2 linked regions of the Rattus norvegicus genome follow. The protein of the gene in region 1 interacts with the protein of each later gene in a pairwise test. Links are inferred from orthologs where the notes say so. Each region holds a gene or a part of one and is shown on either strand. Other genes may lie near its edges.

What was found. The genes of interacting proteins can lie anywhere in the genome.
Region 2: the proteins of Fsd2 (region 1) and Fam107a interact in binary tests that used the Homo sapiens proteins (3 or more experiments, as listed by UniProt). The two-hybrid records come from large-scale screens. The link is inferred for Rattus norvegicus from reciprocal best matches to the Homo sapiens genes FSD2 and FAM107A.

What each region holds. Positions count from the first base shown.
Region 1 is NC_086019.1:144,905,185-144,909,912, reverse strand, and holds part of Fsd2 (fibronectin type III and SPRY domain-containing protein 2), read left to right. Parts: intron 1-854; exon of another isoform or gene 855-998; intron 999-1,337; coding exon 1,338-1,471; intron 1,472-3,479; coding exon 3,480-3,615; intron 3,616-4,728.
Region 2 is NC_086033.1:19,045,078-19,050,136, reverse strand, and holds the start of Fam107a (actin-associated protein FAM107A), read right to left. Parts: upstream 3,557-5,059; 5' UTR 3,508-3,556; exon of another isoform or gene 3,356-3,507; intron 1-3,355. UniProt on the Homo sapiens protein: Stress-inducible actin-binding protein that plays a role in synaptic and cognitive functions by modulating actin filamentous (F-actin) dynamics. Mediates polymerization of globular actin to F-actin. Also binds to, stabilizes and bundles F-actin.

The DNA of each region.
Region 1 (4,728 bases):
GCCTTGGAGCCTAACATGTATCCTATGTATCTGTTCTTGCCGAGATCTCTGTGCCTATAGCCACAGCAAAGCTAGTCAGAAGTCAGGGGAGGGGTCCAGTGATTCGGACCAGCATGGCAATCCAGGTTTCCTTCACTATCTATAGTAACCTGGAATTGGGCCAATCCACAATGCTGGAGCCCTCAGAGGACAGGTCAGCAACTTGGGTGACCTGAGGTGATGCTTAACTCTTGCAGAACAAACCGAATTGCATGTCCAGTCACTGAAGAAAAGGCTCTAGCTTCTTCACAGGATATGCCTCTTTTCCTCTCACTCATCCCATACCAACAACCCTTCCCTCTCCAGCTCCTACTTTCTCCTTCTTGCCACAGGGCCTTTGCACATGTGTCTACTGTGCAGGAGACTTACTCTATCCCCCTTTGACCCAGTTACCTTTAGAGCTCTTCAGAACTCAGCTTGAAAGCCACCACCCTTCCACACTGTAGCACACACAGGCTTCTCATGAATACATGGGCTTTCTGGAGCAATGCCTCTCTGACTGCAGGTTCTCTGGGAATAGGGGTTATGTCCAGTTTCCCAGGGTATACAGCATTTGAGATGGGAGGAGCTTGGTTAATCTCCTGAATGAACAAGCAGAAGTGTCCCTCTGGCCTAGGGCTGCAGCGTCCAAGAGGACGTCTTGTTCTCATAGCTGTACATGGGCACCTTCCTGAAGACCATTTCAGCTGAACAGAATTTCCATACGGTCCAACTGAAATGAATTGGATTATTCTCTGCAGCAGTTGTTTTAAACAAAGTTGTCTGTTCATAGATGCTCATACCGAAAGGTTTCTTTTTTTTTTTTTTTGGTTTTAGCCTGTAGCTAGTGGTTAAAAGGGCGGCCTTAGCCTTAGCCGCGATAGGCAGGCGGCCCCAGTTATGCGCCAGCAAAATGCTATAGCACTGAAGCTTAACCCCCAGCACCACAAGAAGGTTTACCGGGGGCTCAAAGACAGCGCGTCACAGAAAGGTTTCTATGGTTAGGACTGTCCTTGTGTACTTGGTCCTGCCCTCAGAGAGGTCATGGCTCTCACATGGCCAGAGACAGAGACAGGTGCATACTCCCCAAATGCTCCAGTGGACATGTTGAGCACAGTGTTAGGTACTTGGGAAACCCAGCTGGGGAGCTTGGAAGGGAGACAGCCAGACACAGACTGGCAAGCAAGCTGTGAACTGTGGGAGGCCTGCCCAGGAAGCTGAGCCTCTTGGCTGTTCTACTCTGGGTCAGAGGACAATGGGTGTGAAAAGGGCGGCTGGTGCCTGGGCTCCTGCTGACAACACTCTGCCTCTGTGCATAGATCTGTTGTAGGCATCCCAACCTGTGAATCCCTGATACAGCTACAGCCTAGACACAGCTACACGATCTACGTTCGAGCCCTGAATGTGGGGGGCACCAGTGCCAGAAGCAAGCCTGCTACAGTACACACCACAGGTCTGTAAGCCAGCGGTGCTCTTGGGACTCAAAATTAGCCACTTTGTTACAGATTCGGTGCTACTAAGTATGCATGAGAAAACGTAACTGTCACATTATGGACAGATCAGAAACCAAAAGGACATCTGAGTCATCAAAGCCCCATAGAACTTGGGTTGGCCTGAGCTAGTGCTAGAACTCAAGGCTTTCCCCCCGTGACCCTCAAGTACCTGACTATCTCAGTGGATCTGGGTGGCCTATGTTTCTTAACTCATGGCTGGTTTGGTTTTGGTTTTTTGAGATGGGGTCTTGCTCTGTGGCTCAGGCTGGTCTCAAACTCAGTATGTAATCAAGCTGACCTGGAACTCAAGGTGATCCTCCTGCCTCAGCCTCTCCAGTGCTGGGCATTACAGGTGTGAGGCAGCATACCTGCCTTGGAAGAGAGCTGCAGGTGATCAAGGCCACCTCCCTCCCCTGCTGTCAGGATAAGCACCTCCCCTGTTAGAAGCCCACTAAGTCTCCACCATTCAGCCCTGCCCCACCTCCACGCTCTGTCTGACCATCCTGGGTGCTGACAGCCCTTCCCATGTGCTTCCACCATGTCGGAGAACTGGCAGGTCCCATGTCCAAGTCCTAAGTGAGCAGAGACCTCATTAGAAACATCCACTGCAATGCCCCCGCCTCAGCCTCCCCATAGCCTGCAATGCTACAGCTCTGCACCCCAAACCTCACTGCAGCCTTCAAAAGCCTCCCAGAGGATGGTGCCCCTGTACAGATATGAGGACAGGATGTCATCTTGGAGGCTGCAGCTCTGGGCCAGCAGAACACTTCTGCTTGTCCATTCAGTGTCAACCAAGCTCAGTTCAAGCCAACTGAGTGGGTGGCCTCCAGGTGAGCAGCACAAGCAGAGAGCCTAGCCAGTGTCTGGGAACGAATTTCCCTTGGCTGAACTCTTCCCCTGAAACACACTGTGCCTCTCTGTCCCCATTTCCATTGGCAGGAGGAGAGGCCTGTGAGTAACACATTCTTATTCCAGCCACAGAGATGGGAACACAAGCTGAGTGTTTTGAAATTACAGATGCTTGCTCTAAAAAAACAAACAAACCACACTGAGAGCCGAGACCAAAGACATAGCCAGCTCGGTTTTCTTTCAGAAGCTGAGGCAGAATTGCTACAAGTTCAAGGGCAGTTTATAGGATAAAGTGGTTGCAGATGAGCCTGTGCTACAGCAGGAGGCCCTGTTTTTTTTTTGGTTTTTTTTTGTTTTTTTTTTTCCCCCCGGAGCTGGGGACCGAACCCAGGGCCTTGTGCTTGCTAGGCAAGCGCTCTACCACTGAGCTAAATCCCCAACCCCAGGAGGCCCTGTTTAGAAACCACTAACAAGGGGGCTGGAGAGATGGCTCAGCAGTTAAGAGCACTGACTGTTCTTCCAGAGGTCCTGAGTTCAAATCCCAGCAAACCACATGGTGGCTCACAACCATCTGTAATGAGATCCGATGCCCTCTTCTGGTGTGTCTGCAGACAGCGACAGTGTATTCATATAAATAATAAATAAATCCTGAAAAAACAAAACCACTAACAAAAAGCAGAGTCCCTCAATTTGGTTTTCCTTGGCATGGTTAAAAATTCTTACTCAGGTCCAAACACTTAGAGCCTGTGAATTAAAAACCCGGTGTCTGGGCTCAGAGAGGTGAGTAGTTCAGCCTGACTCCTATGATCTACCAGCCTGTTTCTTAACCACCCGAGCCTCAGTTTCCTCATCTACAAAATGGGGACAGTAACACCCCTATCTAGGTCTAGATATAAGGGCTAAGGGAGAGAAGATGTACAGATTGCATGGCACTAATCGTACAAGCCCTGCCCCATGAGAGTGGCCACCCTATTCACAGGTTGATCATGACTCCCCCAGGGGCGGGGGTTCTGTGCATCCATCCGGAAGAAGCCATGCGCTTGGGTAATGCTCGTAGGTCCTGCTGGAAAAGTCTTGCAATATCAGGTCGGGGCTTCTTGATGTTCCCTCCCTCCACAGGAAGCTACTTCCAACTGAACAAGGACACCTGCCACCCCTGGCTGACCATTTCTGAAGACGGGTTTACCGTGGTTCGAAGTGAGAAGAAGAGAAGTTTCAGAAGGGAGCTGCCACCCAGCAAGGCGCAGTTTAGCAGGTATCCGACCGTGTCCTCTGACCCCCATGACAGAAGAATATAGCTGCTGCCGAGGGATCCAGAGGAGAAGACTGTGGTGGCCTCTGCCCTGGGAAGTCCTAGGTTGTGGGCACTATGGGATATGGCAGGGCTATCAGGTCACATAGCACAGGGACAGACACCAGGCACTGAGAACACTTTCTCCTGTTGCCATGAAGGTTGCCCCTTAATCCAGAGGTAAATGATCCTTTCACAGGAGTCACCTAAGACCATCACAAAACACAGATAATTGGGGTTGGGGATTTAGCTCAGTGGTAGAGCGCTTGCCTAGCAAGCACAAGGCCCTGGGTTCGATCCTCAGCTCTGGGAAAAAAAAAAAAACCAAACCAGATATTTACATTATGATTCACAACAATAGCAAAATTACAGTAATGAAGTCGTAACAAAAATAAATTTATGGTTGGGGGCCACCCCAACACGAGGAACTATATTAAAGGGTCACAGTGTTAAGAGGGCTGAGAACCACTGCCTTAGGTCTTGTCTTCTCCAAGAGACACAGTCCAAGCAGAAGTTCATTTGGGAAAACAACAAGCAGGCCTGCAGAGCTGGAGGGAGTGGCTCCAGCAGGGGATTCTTTTGTAGCTTCTTAATGAGTTTTATGGATATTTATGAGGCGGGTTACCTATTCCTAAGGGAAAGGTGACCCTTTCCCTCCCACATCCCCGTGGACCAGATAGCTGTTTTAGAGTATGTCTTCTGAGCCTCTAGAAAAGCCGAGAGGAGTCAGAGCCAGCATGCAAGTGATACATGAAGCCAAGGGCTGAGCTGTTTACTTAGATTCTTCTTCTTTCTCTGAGGAGTTATAAGAGGCTTCTCTATAACAGGGAGAAAAATAAAAAAACAACAGAAGAAAAGGGACAGATTAACTCCCAAAGGCTGATCAGTCCCCAAGCTTAAAACAGTAAACACAGTCTCTCCACTCCCCAGTAGCCAGGGCAAACAGTTCAAAGGATCTGCTGAGGAAGAAAGTGGCTCTCCTGTCCTCAGCAGCAGCTGGGGACACAGCTCTGTGCTGCCAGCTAGACTAGCTCATGAAGGCCGTCACTCAGGTGACGTCCCATAATCAATCACAGA
Region 2 (5,059 bases), on another chromosome or scaffold:
AGCTGGCTGTGGCTGGCCAGTCACTACAAGCAGGTCTGGTTGAGGGCATTCTTCTTAGGTCTTTAACCCAGACATCCTCCTCTAGAGAACTGTGGGACAGTGAAAGACACCCTGGTTCTCAGTTGAGGAGATTTGAACCCTGGAGACCCTGAAAGGGCCAGTAGGCGCTTTGCCTGACTCCCAGGAAACCAGGCTGGTCACTGGCCCGCAGCCCTTCATAGATCTGTGACCATCTGTCACATAAGGGAAACACCCCAAGCTCCTTCACAGGTAGAGGACATGACCATAGGTCAAGTAGGCTCAAGACAGATCTCCATTATAATGAGATACCTAAAGGTCTGGAGACTTAGCCAATGAACTTTCCTTCCAGAAACTCTTCCCTGAAAAAGATATTTAATCCCAGGCCCACTCTGAGAAGTGGAGTACAATTTTTCTCATTCCCTATCCACCATCACAATAAATGCCTTGAAACCATGGACTACCTCTTCTTATGGGATCCACGGTGGCAAGCCATTGAGAATCCCTTCGCCTACAGAGCCAGTCACCTAATCTCCCATAGAAGACTTTCCTGCCCTCCCAGCTTCAGCCCTCTACCAAGCCCAAGCCTGATACCCAGGACAGCCAAAGACTTCCCAGCAGGACCAGTTGGAGCATCCCCCCTCCTTTTCCCCCTCTGCCCCTGGCTAGATCGGCCCCCACTCTGTTTCTGCAGCATCCCAGCGGTGCCTGGATGCCCAAGAGCCTAAGAACTGAAGGCTGCAGCGTCCTGTCCTCAGACGGTGCTTCCCTACCCTGGAGCAGTGTCCCGCAGCTTCCCACAGTCTAACACCCACCTGACGGGTCAAACTTCCCGAATCCTGCCTCCCAGAGCAGCCTGAGCCCTGTGACAGAGCAGAAGGACAGAAGTAGGCCCCCTACTCAATCCTACAGAGAATCATGGTGACTGAGGAGGTTCTGTTGGGCACAGAGCTCTGGGACCAGAAGGTTTTGGCTAAATGAGTGGTCTGTATGTCTCTAAGAGGGTCGAAGGGTCACAGGGATAAGAATACAGAAGAGAGACCGGGGCCTCTCATTCTTCACAGGTTCTGTTGGTAACCCAAAAGGTCCCAGGGTTCCTTCCTAAAGACTGAGTCTGGTTCTGGGTGTGCACAGACTGGTGGGAACAGTAGCTTCGATAGCAATCCCTGGTCTTTCCTGGGCAGTGAGGAGAGAGCCGGAGGAGAATGATACTCTTGCTACAGGGTGAAGTTTACACTGAGAACAGCTGCAGGAACCTGGTTACTGCACAAGATCCTTTCATCCCCCTCCCCTTTTTAGGAGGGTTTCACATATCCCCAGTTGGCCTCAAACTTGTTACATAGCCAAGGGTGACCTTGAACTCTTGATTGGCCTGCTTCCACCTCCCAAGGGCTAACACTATAGGCATAGCCACCATGTCCCATTTATGGGGTATCATCGATCCATCTCAGGGCTTTGTGCATGCTGGGTAAGTTCTTGACCAACTGGGCTGAATCCTTATGGTCTTCTTGTCACTTTCTGACTGCATTCCCTCTATCTTCAATGTTCTTATTGTGTTTCTGGTCTATCAGTTACAACACATGACACTGGGTCCACAAAGTGTTCAGGGATTAAAGCAAAAGAAACAATGTAACACATGATCTTAGCTTGTGTGGCCTCAAGCAAACAGCTCCTGCGCTCTCAGCCTCTGACCAGTGGAGATCATGGCCACCTCCCGTCCCCTCAGGTCATTAGAATGTGAGACCTTGTGGTGTGCACACTGTAGTTTGTAGACTACCTGGCTGAGTAGGCAGACTGTGAACCTCTTTCTTGTCCTGCATGTTTTGGAGTGAGCACGGGACTTGGTCTGACTCTCATGATTATCTTGAAGGCAACTCATTTTGTAGTTGAAGAAATCAGGGCTTATCAAGCTAAGGTACACGCCAAGTACTTAGCAAAGCCAGGATTGTTGGACTCCAAACCTAGTACTCTTTCTACCATAGAACTGTCTCCTAGGAATGGCATGTTTTTGACTCAACAGAACCAATTTACAGCCCTTTGCTCTCTCTCTCTCTGTATACTCAATAAACCCCTGTGAAGAGGAAGGCTGAGAACATGATGGCCAGAGAACCAGACAGTGAGAAACGCAAGCACTGCCCTGCTGCTTGAAGCAGCTTTTTCCTGTCAGGCCTGTGGCCAGGTTTCAACCCCCAGTTCCTCTAAACCTTTCTGGTTCAGCATCAGCAGGGGGGCTTTGAGAAGCACTGGCAAGAGAAGGAGAAACATTCAGAAAAATGACAAGCTGGCTGCCACATGTCCTGCTTGCTCTCTCCTCCCTGTGGGTGGTATGCATTTGTAGCTCAATGGCTGGCCAGTAACCTAAGAACGCATTTGGCAACAGCTCTAGGTCTCCCTGCAGACTCAGGTCAATCTTCTTCGTCTTGGAGCCACCTATCCATTTAGGCAAGAAGGCTCCAGACTACTTCAGGTCTTGGTCCCCTGGATCCGTTTCACCAGAGAAAAGAAAGGTTGGATTTGAAGGGTGAGGCCTATAGGGTCCATAGCAAGGCTGGGGATTGTGCCCTGCTGTTGAGCAGGAAGCAGCGTGAGTGGATGTCCCATACTGCTATCCTTGTGATCTGATGACAGCTGTTGCACCTGGCAGCTGGCTCAGGGAAAAATCACAGCAGGGGTTGCCAGACTTCACAGTGAGGAAGCCATCAGGACCCAAGCACCCAGAAACCCATGTGTGTGGGAGGACTGTTTCAAATTTAGAGCCCATCCCACTAATAGCAGCTTCCTAGTGACAGGCAATCCCCTGATCCCTGGATCCCTGATTTCTCTAGTCCCAGACTGGCCGTGTACCACGTGATGAAGCCAAGTCCATCGGCAAGGCGGGAATCACCCATAGCCTGCATTCTCAGTACAGGCTGAGTAATGAGCTATTCGTCTAGTTTCCGACTCAAAACTCTCAATAAACTGAGAAGGTGGGCAACCCCTTCTTAGGAACAGACCTCAGAGACGTCGTCTGATTTCTCCAGATCACATAGCCAGTGTGTGAGGTAGCCAGAATCCGAGCTGAGCTTTGGTACCCAAATCCAAGTTCTGTGCTTTTCTCATTGCATATAGAACCTGGACTATCTGCCGATTGTGTCTATCTGTCCTCTATTAAGTGAACCCTCCTTGCTGACCCTACATACCCCTACTGTGTGATGATGGATTTAAGAGAGGCTGTAGCAGATGTTAAATTCCTCTCAGTGTTTAGAAGTAAAAGGTCAACCAGACTGCCGGGTTGTAACTGAGAGCCTACTTAACCCTCTATCTCCCACCCCCACTTCACATCCCTGCCTCTTCTCACCTCAGTAAGGCAGGGTCCCAGTACCTACATTTTGAAGGGCTTAGTTGCTGGGACAGCTTGCTCCGATGCTCTTAGGTCATCTCCTTCCCACCACCTTCTCCTAGAACACACTCAGCCTAACAGATGTGAAGCAGAATAGATCAGAGTCTTACTTCTCTACAGGTCCGGGGCTGTGAGCTCCTTGGCAGTGTCTGGGCTGCGAGGTCCTCTGCAGGTTTCAGACTTAGGGAGTGCTAAGCCAGTCCCAGATGGCTGAGGCAGCCACCCCCAAAGGGCGGGCCTTAAACCCCCAAGATGGGAGGCAGTTTTGCATTCCCATTTATTCTGATAGCAATGAAAAAGAACTGTTGCTATAGAAACCGTTATTTTACTTGGTGAGTGGCCGTGTCCGAGACTCAGAACACCATGTCCAAGCCACCCTGATTGAGAGGCACCAATAAATACCCGTGTTGTCAGATTGATGAGGAATATGACTCACACCAAGCTTTGTTCTGAACAAGGCGGCTCCTGGCTTCTGAGGAGGAATTTCCCTTGTTTGTATGGGAGGGAATTCCAGCACTTCCCCAAAGGAGGGGAGGGGAACCACGCTTCCTGCTGCAGTGAGGGATTCTTTAGAACTTGGCTCTTGGATACTAGCAGGGAGAGAACTATACCCAGACAGTTCTTGGCAGCCCTGCAGGCTTAGGTGTAAGAAACATTGTGAAGTGAAGTGGTCATCTACAAATGTGTTGGGCACATGGACAGCCAGAGCATTTGGGAGGCAGAAGGAGGTAGATCTCTGTGTTCAAGGCCAGCATGGTCTACAGAGAGAGAGAGTTCCAGGATAGCCAGGACTACACAGAGAAACCCTATCTCAAACAAACAAACAAACAAACAAACAAACAAACTTCACACAATTAATTTCCACAGAAGAACCAGCAGGATGTAGTCCAGGAAAAGGGCAGCGGATAGATTTGTACCTAGCCCACTCTGATCCTAGTCCCTTCTGTACTTTGGCTTTCCTGTGTGTGTTGGCTGCGCGTGACCTCAATGAGATGGTGTTCATTAAAGCAGCCTTCAGAGAACTGTCATGTGCTAAAGGCAGAGCCCCAATGTGCATGCCTGTGCCTGGCCACAATGAGAGTGTGCGCAAAGAGAAGCTGTGGGCTTGGGCAGAACCCCAAAGCCAATCTAGGTGCTTGTAGATCAAAGGCCTTCTCTGCACCTCTGAACTAGCTACTGCTCGAGCCTTGGGCCATTCTGTCGTTTGGCATTATTCTCTGTCCCCCAACTGAGGAAACCAGCCTCTGCCAGTGAGACTAGGCCTGTACCCCAGTTTACTTTCTCATGGAACTTTGGTCGGTCAAGAGCGATGAGGTTCAGGTCACACACATCACAGGTAGGCAGACATATTCCACACGCAGTTTGAGTTCATTTTGGCCCTAGGATCTGTTCATGTAGTCAATATCTAATATGTATGTGTATATTTCCTGGCATGTTCTAAGTGGGCGTATGATGGGAAAGCAACAGAGAGAGACAGTACCCCTGTTCTCAGGGGATCCACATTCAGTGTGTGTGTGTGTGTGTGTGTGTGTGTGTGTGTGTGTGTGTGTGTGTGTGTGTGTGTGGTGTGCATGTGTGTGTAGTGTGTGTGTGTGACAGTAGATAAAAAGACATACAAGAAAATGTCAACCAGTGATGTATGACTGTAGAAAGGCTGAGTAA